Linked DNA regions of Coturnix japonica. The protein of the gene in region 2 binds, or shares a complex with, the protein of the main gene of each other region. Links are inferred from orthologs where the notes say so. Each region holds a gene or a part of one and is shown on either strand. Other genes may lie near its edges.

What was found. The genes of interacting proteins can lie anywhere in the genome.
Region 1: KAT2B (region 2) and MYSM1 share a complex: the UniProt entries of both Homo sapiens proteins name them as parts of the large chromatin remodeling complex. The link is inferred for Coturnix japonica from reciprocal best matches to the Homo sapiens genes KAT2B and MYSM1.

What each region holds. Positions count from the first base shown.
Region 1 is NC_029523.1:23,571,197-23,576,427, reverse strand, and holds part of MYSM1 (histone H2A deubiquitinase MYSM1), read left to right. Parts: intron 1-195; coding exon 196-294; intron 295-475; coding exon 476-1,239; intron 1,240-2,372; coding exon 2,373-2,503; intron 2,504-2,824; coding exon 2,825-2,928; intron 2,929-3,871; coding exon 3,872-3,949; intron 3,950-4,390; coding exon 4,391-4,479; intron 4,480-4,785; coding exon 4,786-4,840; intron 4,841-4,922; coding exon 4,923-4,973; intron 4,974-5,231. UniProt on the Homo sapiens protein: Metalloprotease with deubiquitinase activity that plays important regulator roles in hematopoietic stem cell function, blood cell production and immune response.
Region 2 is NC_029517.1:32,876,859-32,882,089, forward strand, and holds part of KAT2B (histone acetyltransferase KAT2B), read left to right. Parts: intron 1-995; coding exon 996-1,204; intron 1,205-3,768; coding exon 3,769-3,895; intron 3,896-5,231. UniProt on the Homo sapiens protein: Functions as a histone acetyltransferase (HAT) to promote transcriptional activation. Has significant histone acetyltransferase activity with core histones (H3 and H4), and also with nucleosome core particles.

The DNA.
Region 1 (5,231 bases), on a different chromosome or scaffold from region 2:
TTAGGAATAGCAACACTTCTTACTGTTGGATGCGATGCATTCCTTGTTGCAATGTGATTATTGAGGTTCTTGGGTTCGGCTGTACTGTTTGTGTGTTTGTAATGCAAAACTGAGCTTTTAAACACTTTGTGAGTATGAACTGGAATGTTTGGAATGTTGGAGACTGGGTAACTCAGGTTTGCTTTGTTGCTCTAGGTGAAATTTGGCCGCCGCTGGACAAAAATTGCCAAGTTGATTGGGAGTCGTACTGTTCTACAAGTGAAGAGCTATGCCAGGCAGTACTTTAAGAACAAGGTAAACAGAATATTTCAAGTATTGTTGTCAAGTTAGTTTGCTTTGTATGATTTTGGTATTTTTATTGCTTTGTCAGCCTAACACCTCCCTCTGAACGTCTGTCTGCTGGTCAAGTAAAATAGTTCTGATTGTCTGGGAAGCAGTTTTTTTCCTCTTTTTAATGTATCTTATGCTTTCCTAGGCAAAAAATGATGGTTCTGAAAGAGAAGAGCAAAGTCAGTGTGGTGGCAGCCTTCCGTCTGAGGATGGAGTAAGGGTAGAAGCATGGTCAGCTGGAAGCTTGAGAGGCCGTGCAGACCCTAACCTGAATGCAGTGAAAATTGAAAAGCTGTCAGATGATGAAGAAGTAGATATAACTGATGACATGGATGAACTCTTTTCTCCTGCTTGCCAGCAAGATGTTGGAAAATCCGAATTATCTGCAATTTCAGAAAGTCCAGCTGAAGAAACAAAAGGAGCAGAGCATCCTTTACCAAATGTCGGACATAGTTCTGCTGTTTCTTTGCTGGAAGAAGACCCTCAGAATACTAAGCAACCCACAGTGAACACGTTACTGTTTCAGGATGTTGCAGCAACATGTTCTCAGCACGTGAATGGTGATAAACCTGTAAACTTGGATTACCAGCAGTGCAGTGATTTTATAGAGAAAGCTGGACAGGGTGGAACAGGAGCATCTCATGGTGCTTGGGAAACAACTGACCAGGAGCTTAATGAGGAACAGAGAGACCTGGCTGATAATGGGCTGCTTTTTCATCCCACCTGCCAAGTGGATGAAGATCATCAAGAAGAAGCAGAAGCTCTTAAGCCACCTGATCAAGAAGTGGAGATTGATAGAAGCATCATTCTGGACGAAGAGAAGCAAGCTATTCCTGAGTTCTTTGAAGGGCGCCAGGCCAAAACACCAGAGCGTTACTTGAAGATTAGGAATTACATTTTGGATCAGTGGTAAGATATATTCGTTTTCCTTCTTTCATTAAGTCATTAAAATCTCTCTTGCCCTGCTTTGCTGTAGTAAAAACAGCACAAACAGGTTTTGTAAAGAGTAGAAGTAATTTTGCAGTAATATCCTAAAGAAGCAACGAATGGCACTGAGTGGTGGTGCTTCTTTCACCTCTTCGCAGTTCTGGCCTTCTGGAAGCTGAGCAGTGAAGGTGCTTTTTGAAGCGTTATGGAAGTTTTTGTCCTATATATATCAGAATAAACCCCTTCTGGTTTTATTGTGCTTCTTTTCTTCTGTCTTTGTCATAAACTATATAAGAATCCTGAGATATTCTTGATAAATGTCTCTTCAAAAAACTTTAATTCTTTATTGATAGCTGTGGTAGTGCCCATGCAGTAGAGCAGCTGGAACAAACATTCTGCACTAGAGAAAATAATGTTGACCTAACGGTATTTCACATAAAGAATCAATGTTGAGCCGTGCTTGTACATCTGAATATTCTATATTCCATCTCCAAAAATTCAGTTTAAAGAACCTTTAATGTTTGTGGTTGCAGGCTGAACATCTGGTTTGTTGCAGTTGTGGTTTATGTGCTCGTTGGCTGGGTTACTTTACTTCTTAGTAGGAAGAATTAGCAAATTTTAGTGGGTTCTCACTGAGTGGTCTCTGTGCTAACAGCTTATTCTGGCAACAAAGAAACTCTGACATTGCATATTGGAAAGGTATTAAGCTCAAATAACTCAGTATCAGCTTAAGAGCAAGTGGAGTGAAAGCAGGCTTGTTTGTTACACTGAGGATGCATATGATTATGAGTTATTCAGAGGAATCTAATGCAGACATTCTGAGTTCAGTTTAAAAGAATCACAGTATTTCAGAGTAATTCAGTGCTTCCTGGCATATCATGTAGAAGAGTTTGTTTTAAGGCATGGAACATGAGCTTCACACTGCATGACTGTGAGTGTGTATGAATAACCCTAAAATAAATTGCATATACTTTGTGAAACCTGTGTTTTTGCTGTGGTTGCTCTGCACAGCAGTGTGTAGTGTTTGCATCGGGCTAAAACACTTTACTGTCTCATCTCCATCTGCGCAGTGACTTGTTTTCTATTGTATGATGTGTTGTTCTGTTTTATTGTAGGGAGAGATGTAAACCCAAATACCTGAATAAGACCTCAGTACGTCCGGGCCTTAAGAACTGTGGGGATGTTAACTGTATTGGACGTATCCACACGTACTTGGAATTAATAGGAGCAATTAACTTTGGCTGTGGTAAAATAAATAAATAAATACTTTTATTAGAAGTTGATTTCGAACTTAAATTTTAGTCAGTGTGTGCTGAGACCAGCTAATGGTCGTCAGCTCTTTTATTAGAATGAATATGTTCATGTGAAGAATGGATGTGTTTCTTTTCCTGCTTCCCCATATTGAACCATAAGCATTTGGTAAATCAAACAGTCTAAACCCTCAAGGCTGCCCTTTTTATTTTGACATCATACAAATGTTGAAATTAATGAAATAAAGAATAATGACTATGTAATCGCTTATCAAGATGACCTGAAGCACAGTGTATGTCTCTTCTATTTCCTGTAGAACAGGCTGTCTATAACAGACCACAACCAGCTGATAAAACACGGTCCAAGGAAGGCAAAGACACGGTGGAAGCCTACCAGCTTGCTCAGCGTTTGCAGTCCATGGTACGTTTTGGAGGTCAGGGGGAAGAGAGCGGGGTGGTGAAAAAGTGACATGCAGGTGTTTTCAAGCCAGGCCATCTCAGGAAACTCCTTCTCTTGTTCAGTTTGCAGTTTCATTCGAGTGCCCTTCAGTTCAGGTATCAGTTTAAGCAGTATTGGATTTTTACTGGTATCTGTTTTATTCTATTCTCTTGCACGTTAATTGCCCAGCTACTTAACTGAGATTTATTATGGTCTTTTTTCCTAGAATCCCAACCCCTTCCTCCCCAGCACCCCATCATCTATTAGTCCAAATTAGTCAGAAAACAGCGGAGTGTATCAATAGAGTGAGGTTAAGTTGCTTGTGTTATAATCATTAAGTATACTGGGTATGTGATATGACTTACTGAGAGTCTTACGCGTGCAATTAAGTACAGTAGTAACTCATTCATAATTAGATGAATTACCAAGGTTTGCCAGATTAATGTTCATGTTTACATTTAATGTAGCATTTTGAAGTACTTCATGGTAAAATAAGTCGGTTGATGAGAGGAAAACAAGATCAATCCCATTAAAAGAAAAAAAGCTTCATATGAAGAGCAGTAGCTTACACAGGGCACACACATACTGGCTGATGGCTTTTGCATTGTCTGTGCTATAATTCACAGTTGGATAATAGTTTGCTGTTGCTCTCAGGGATGCTGATGTTCTACAGAACATCATCCTGGTGTTCTTTACAACCTTAAGAACCTGAAAACATCACTGGTGGTATTTGGTGACAGATTGTGAATTACTCAATCCTGTAGAACTCCAGGGGGTTTTCTCTTTTCTGGATGTATGTTACAGTGTTGGGAAAGCTCATGTGGCAGTAATCTTTTGGATGATGTTCTTCCAGCCGATGAAACACAGCAAAGGCTGTTTTTTGCACGAGTTTGATCCTTGATTTGTGTTGATTTTATTTTTGCAGCGTACAAGAAGACGGCGAGTCCGAGACCCCTGGGGAAACTGGTGTGATGCAAAGGATTTGGAAGGGCAGACGTTTGAGGTAACCTGGTCTTGAACATTCGTTTACATATGTGATTATTGATAATTGCTAGCAGGTGGGATTGCTTGCTGTTACAATAAATCCTGCAGCTGTTACATCTGCTGATAAATGACTGTACTTTGGTGTTTGCAAAAGGTGTTTGTGCTGTGAGCATGGATGGATCTACACAGCTCTACACCTACAAAGCTCTTTGCCTCATCTTGTATAAAACTTCAGGAGCCTTTATTTTTAGTTATAGAAAAATCCCTGAAAACGTGCTATAAAAATTGTGGCCACTGATTGCAGTGGAAGATTTTATCCTTAATCGATGAACTTGCATTTACGCATACTTTGATACTGCACCATAATCCTATAAGACAGCAACTGGGGGTATATAAGGAGGGTAGTGATGTCAAGGATTCATTCAAGATGTTGAGACAGACTTTTGCAATTGATTTTTAGCATCTGTCTGCTGAAGAATTAGCAAGAAGAAGAGAAGAAGAAAAACTGAAGCCTGCAAAACCTTCTAAAGGTTCAAGACAAATAAAAAGGTATTTGATGTACATCCTGTTCCAAAATGGGTCTTCTAGAAATAAAACAATTGGTTTGCATGGCATCGGGCTGGAACGCTTCAAATTAGTACTAGGTATCGTGGGCAGAGTTAACATGTGGCATTTCGGATGTTTAATGCTGCAATTCAAAAGTGTGGGAGGTGAACTTCTGTATTTGGTGGGAGTATGAGATGAAAGGCATGCAGTGAAGAAATCCTCTTCTTCTTGTACTGAGGAGACAGTGGGAAACTAGGAAAGTTTCCTGACTGTCCTACATCTTTAGAGAAATTCTCTTTCGTTTTATAGTTCCTTTGATCCCTTTCAGCTGATACCGTGCTGTTTATTCACTGAAGAAAAGCAGGTATGTATCCGAGTGAATATCAATAATGCTTTATTTAGTTACGTTGCTTTCATTATACTCATAGTGGTGTTTGTGATTTCAGGAACCCTTTCAGGTGAAAGTGTCTTCAGAAGCACTTTTAATAATGGATTTGGTGAGGATGAAGTTTTATCTTTCAGAAAGCTATGATGTATCTGTTGGGGGGTTGTTTTTATGGGTGGCATGGTTAGATTTAGCAATGCAGTATGTAGTTCTTGTAGTTTTTGAATGCTGTGGGATTTTTGAAGTTAACACTTCCATCCATTAAGCAATTCTATACAGCTGCATTATAAACATGCATGTGTGTAACAAGTAAACATGATATTTTGGTTTACTTTCAATTAAAACCTTGTCTATTTGAGCATCTTTAGCT
Region 2 (5,231 bases):
ATAATGAAGAAGCTTTGAGGTTATTTTGTAAGGCAATTCTTTAGTAGGATGATTCCAGAGTACACTTTTTATTGTTAATCATAGATGCATCACGTCAGATGAGGCAAAATATGTTCAAGTCCCACAGAAGGATTAAAGACCCAAATTTAAATCTTCTATCTAGTGCAGAAGAGCTGATCTAAACACTTAGTTGCTCCTTCTTCCACAGTTGCTCTTTTTTTTCTCCTGTAAGAGAAAAACAAACAGAATTGCAGAATTGCACACTTTTTTTTTTTTTTTTTTTGGCTGCCTTTTCCTCCTTCTGTTCTCTTTGCCAGGCTATGTTTTGCAAGCAGCTCTTGTTTGCCAAGATTTAGCTAGAGAGTGCTGAAGGTTTGGAACCACCTACATTTCTTGCTCAACATGTATACTGTGACTGATGGCTTTGCATATTTGCAGTCTGGATGTTGGGGCTGGCAATGACTAGAAATTCAGCAGCCAAACATCTTTTCAAAAAGTAAACAGTATGAACATGCAGGAATCTTTTGGCATTGTGAAAGGATCTTGATAAAAGTTTAAACGTCTATATGAATTTAATCTCTGTGCAAACATACATATGCAGTTGCTAGATATATAACGACAAAAATAGTAGGAATTAAAATTTTTTTTTTTCTTTTTTTCTTTTATGATAGTAATGTAGGTGGTGGAAAGCACTGCTAAAATGAAAAAATAAAGCTGTGCCTCCAAAGCCATTAAAATCTCTGGTCTGCAACACATGTAGGCAAATCCATTACTATTTATGCCTTAGTATACCGTAGCATAGATTTTATATCTGCTTATTTGATGTTGTCATTTCTGCTTTAAAAAAAAAAAGAAAAAAAGAGAGAAATCATTGACAGCTCAATTTTTGTATAAAACATGGCTTGGGAAAGGAGCAGGGTTTGTTAGTTTCTTAAGGTTTTTCCAGCAGAGGATGTGAAATATACACAATGTGATTGTGTTCCTCTTTCGTACAGACCAACTTCCTCTCAGCACATTCTGCTCGGGATGAGGCAGCAAGACTGGAGGAGCGCAGGGGGGTAATTGAATTCCACGTGGTTGGGAACTCCCTGAACCAGAAGCCAAACAAGAAGATCATGATGTGGCTGGTTGGTTTGCAGAATGTGTTCTCCCATCAGCTCCCTCGGATGCCAAAGGAGTACATCACACGCTTGGTTTTTGATCCGTGAGTATGGCTGGAGAGGAGTTTCATGATTGGGATGAAGAGAGCACATTGCTTGTTGCAGACAGTGATTTTAGAATGGGCCAGCCCAGATACTGTAGAGAGGAACTCTACCCCTGCTACCCTTATGTTATTCTTATGAATGTTAGAACCAAAATTCTGAAAATAATTCTGGTGTTCATTAGTGGCCTCTGGGCCCATACTAACTTGCAGACTGCTCTATCCTCTGTTTTTGGAGTTTGAAAACCAAATGGCAGCAGAGATTGAAGGCTTTTCAGTGAGAAGAACTTGCAGAATTTATGAAGAATAGCATCTAAGTCAACATGGGGAGAATGCTTAAAATCACTGCTCACAGGAGTACATTGCCTTTCTCTTTATACGTGCACGTTTCCTGCCTTGCTTTAGGTACAAATCTACACCACAGGCACTTTTAAAGAGATATATTTGCTATAGCAACATCCACAGGTTGCATGTTGTCTTCATCCACCCTAGTGAACTGATGAATTGTGTTTAAGCAGGAGAAAAAGGGTTTTCTCTACATTCATGGATATTTACGCTCTGCCCATTCTGACTTTTGTCTTCTGCTTAGCTGTTCTATTACACGGATGTTTTTCTTCTGTTTACAGCACTCATTGCCTTTAGAGTTTCAAGGCTGTCAGGTGTCAATCTTCTTATTGATCAATACATTAAGACAATTTGTTGCCCTGACATTTTCTTTACCTTTTGCTCAGAAGTGTCTATTTTTAGACTGTTGCACTTCTTACAGAGTCTACTTCCAACCAATGTGCTTTCCCCAGATTTCTGCCTGTGTACAACCCATGTCCATTGAAGATTTAGGGGTCTACAATATTAACTGCAGCACTTCACAGTGTAGTGTGCTTGTGGACTCTTTGCTACATGTCAGTAGATACCACAAATGGAGCTTTGCTTGAGCTGATCTAGATGTCTGCCTAGCCTGGTTAGTGGTAGAGCCTACCTCCACCACCAGTGATATGAGCCACTGTCTTCATGTCTGCTATTATTGCTGTAGCAGTTAGGAAAACACTTCTGGAATGATTTCCTCTGCTTTTAGACTTGCTAGCACTTCCCTCTGCACTACTTTCTCAGTGCCAGCAAGCTCTGCTGCTGCATGCTCTGTGCAATCTCTGAAGCTCAGGCCACCCAGTTCTGGGACAAGCGGACAAAACTTCAGTCTCCAAGCACAGGAGACCAACCGTGGAACTTTTTCCTGTGTTCTTCAGAAGGGACCAGCAAGGTTCTTGTGAGGACCAGCACGAGTCTGGACTCTTTTTCTTCTCCTATGAGAGGGTAAATGCTGCTCGATTTGGAGGGAGAGGCAGCACTGAGAAATTTTCTGAAGTTTGGTGTCTTAGCAGCACTGTGAACTCAAGCAGAAGCTACTGGTTGAAGTTCAGGTTTCACAATAACCAAACATCTGAGTAAATTTTGAAGCAGTAGTCTTGTGCCATAGCCTCCTCCCACATTTCTCTAGGCCCTTCTTTATTAGCAAAGACTCTTCTAATAAGTTGATAGGAAAAAGTGCAGTCTAACTGTTCTCTTCCAAAGACTTTTCAGCCATTAATATAATTATGATCTATTTTGTTCTTATTTCCAAAGTGGTCATCCTTAGTAAATCTTTTTCCAACAAGAGAACAAACAATTTTGTTTTGAAGAAACAAAATTAAAAACACAAGCTACTATACACTGCTGTCTTTCTACAAATTAAAAATACTAAAATAAAGAAAAAAAAAAAAAGAATATGTACAATATATAAATTCTACTTCAACACTAACATTTAAAATACTTTTCAGACTGACCTTTTTTTGGAAGAGGCTCATTTTGGCACCAACTTTCCTTCACATCAAAGACATCTTCTCTGAATTTACAGTACTGTTTATACAGTTTATATTATACTGTGTACTGAATAAGCTAGAGAACAGCTGCATTGTAAATCTTTCCAGACCTTGAGGATGATGCTAAAATTTTGGTGCTTGATGTGAGAGTTCAGATTGCACCTTGCTTTATCTTTCCCGGCAGTCAGTGCAAGTGCAACAGAAATGGATATTTATTCTGGTCTCCATTTTACTAGGAATTAGATTAGAAATATGAAATATCATTTATTGCTTGATCAGCTGTGTTGGAAACTGATAGCACAGCTATTCAGAGTACATGCAAGGAAACAGGAATCCCTTAGGAAGGACTTGCTGTCCTGTAACTCCATTAATTTCTAATTTAGGCAGGCTAAGATCATACTGAGAACTATGCAATGGCACAACTGTCAGTAATATAGTCAACAAAAGTAATATAAATCTTATTAATAGAAGTACTCTAGTATGTAGGAGTACTTGGCAAGGCTAGGACATGCTGCATAATGATGAATTTTATGGTAAACTCAAAGCATGATGTTAAGAAAAACTCTTCGGTAGGTACAGATATCTTAACAGAGGCATATACAATTGCAGTGGCACCATGGAAAGAAGTGAATCAAGTTTCTGAAAAAAGGAAAGTAATGGCACATTATGTACTATGTACATGAATTAAAATGAATGTTATTTTTGTCTACTCAGGAAACACAAGACTCTTGCATTAATAAAAGATGGTCGTGTTATTGGTGGTATCTGCTTCCGAATGTTCCCTTCCCAAGGATTTACAGAGATCGTTTTCTGTGCTGTGACTTCCAATGAGCAAGTCAAGGTAAAATTAACTCTCCACTAGAGTTTATTAAATGCATATGAATTCCATTTACCACCGTATATACTCCTAATTTTGTGGTCTCATTGAATATATTGTGCTACCAAACAGAAATCAAATTTGATAGATACAGTGATTCTGAATGTACCATAGAAAACCTAAATAATAGGACAGATTTAAAATCATCAGAATAATAGTGGGACTATTTTTCTAAGAAAAAAGACACATTCCTCAACACAAAAATAATGGTAATTTTTCTTCCACTCTTGGATTATTCACCCTTTTCTTCAGCAACTGCCTTTCAGTGTGGCATAACGCATCATGGTTGGCTGAATTAAGTGTAGCTTACATGTGTTTGTAATATATGCTCAGTCTCTTTGTGATGTTAAACAGCTTCAATGAAAATTAGTTATATCGAATAAATTAGGTATAGTTTCACAACTCAAAATAAGCATACACTGTTTTGCATACTTATTTTTGAGTACAGTGTGCATAATGTTCTCAGTGTTGATCTGTAATGTTGAGAGAATGTAAAGCACTATAAATATACAGGAGATTCTGCTCTTCTTCTCCAGGATTACAGGTAAATCTAAGTGGGAGTATTTAGTTCAGGATATTGCCTTTAGATGGTGCTGTAGCTATATGTTTTTCAGTTGAAATTGTTAATGCTGAGATGTGGGTTAATTTAGAGTTTCTAGAAGATGAACAAGCAGAAACTGTGTGAAAGCCTGTGACAACTTTTAGTACTTGAATTATATTTGAATTTATGAGACTCTGAATTCATAAGGTTAACATTTCCATGGACACAGTAGTATATAAAAAAAGCACTCAAAGTGTTTTATATGAACAGTAACAGAGCTTGCTGTTGGTATGTTTATTCTATGTCTATATAATTCATAAAAGGTGTTTTAATTAAACTGAAGCATTCAAATGTGCTACAGGAGTTGCAAATATTTGTTGTGATTCTCAATTAACCTTTCCAACTTGGACTCCTCACGTTGCCTTACTGGGGTTGCACACATAAAGCACACTTTCTTCTGTTACCCTTCGGGTGTCTCAATATTTGCAGAGTTCAGTTGACTATTTCTTAATTTTGGCCTTCCCACATTCCTTTCTAAGTAAGATGACCCCTAGCAGCAGATAAGTGAGAAAGAACAAATGTTCACACAGGGATATCACTGCAAACTCTTGGGAAAAATAAACATGTTTTAATTCAGTTTGAGGCTGGAGTAAGAAATATGGAAATATGGATACTGTTTTGTGTGTGATCTTTAAAAGTTAATTTGGTTTTGAGATAGATTGATGTTATATTATAAAATTATTTTAAATTGTATCGTAC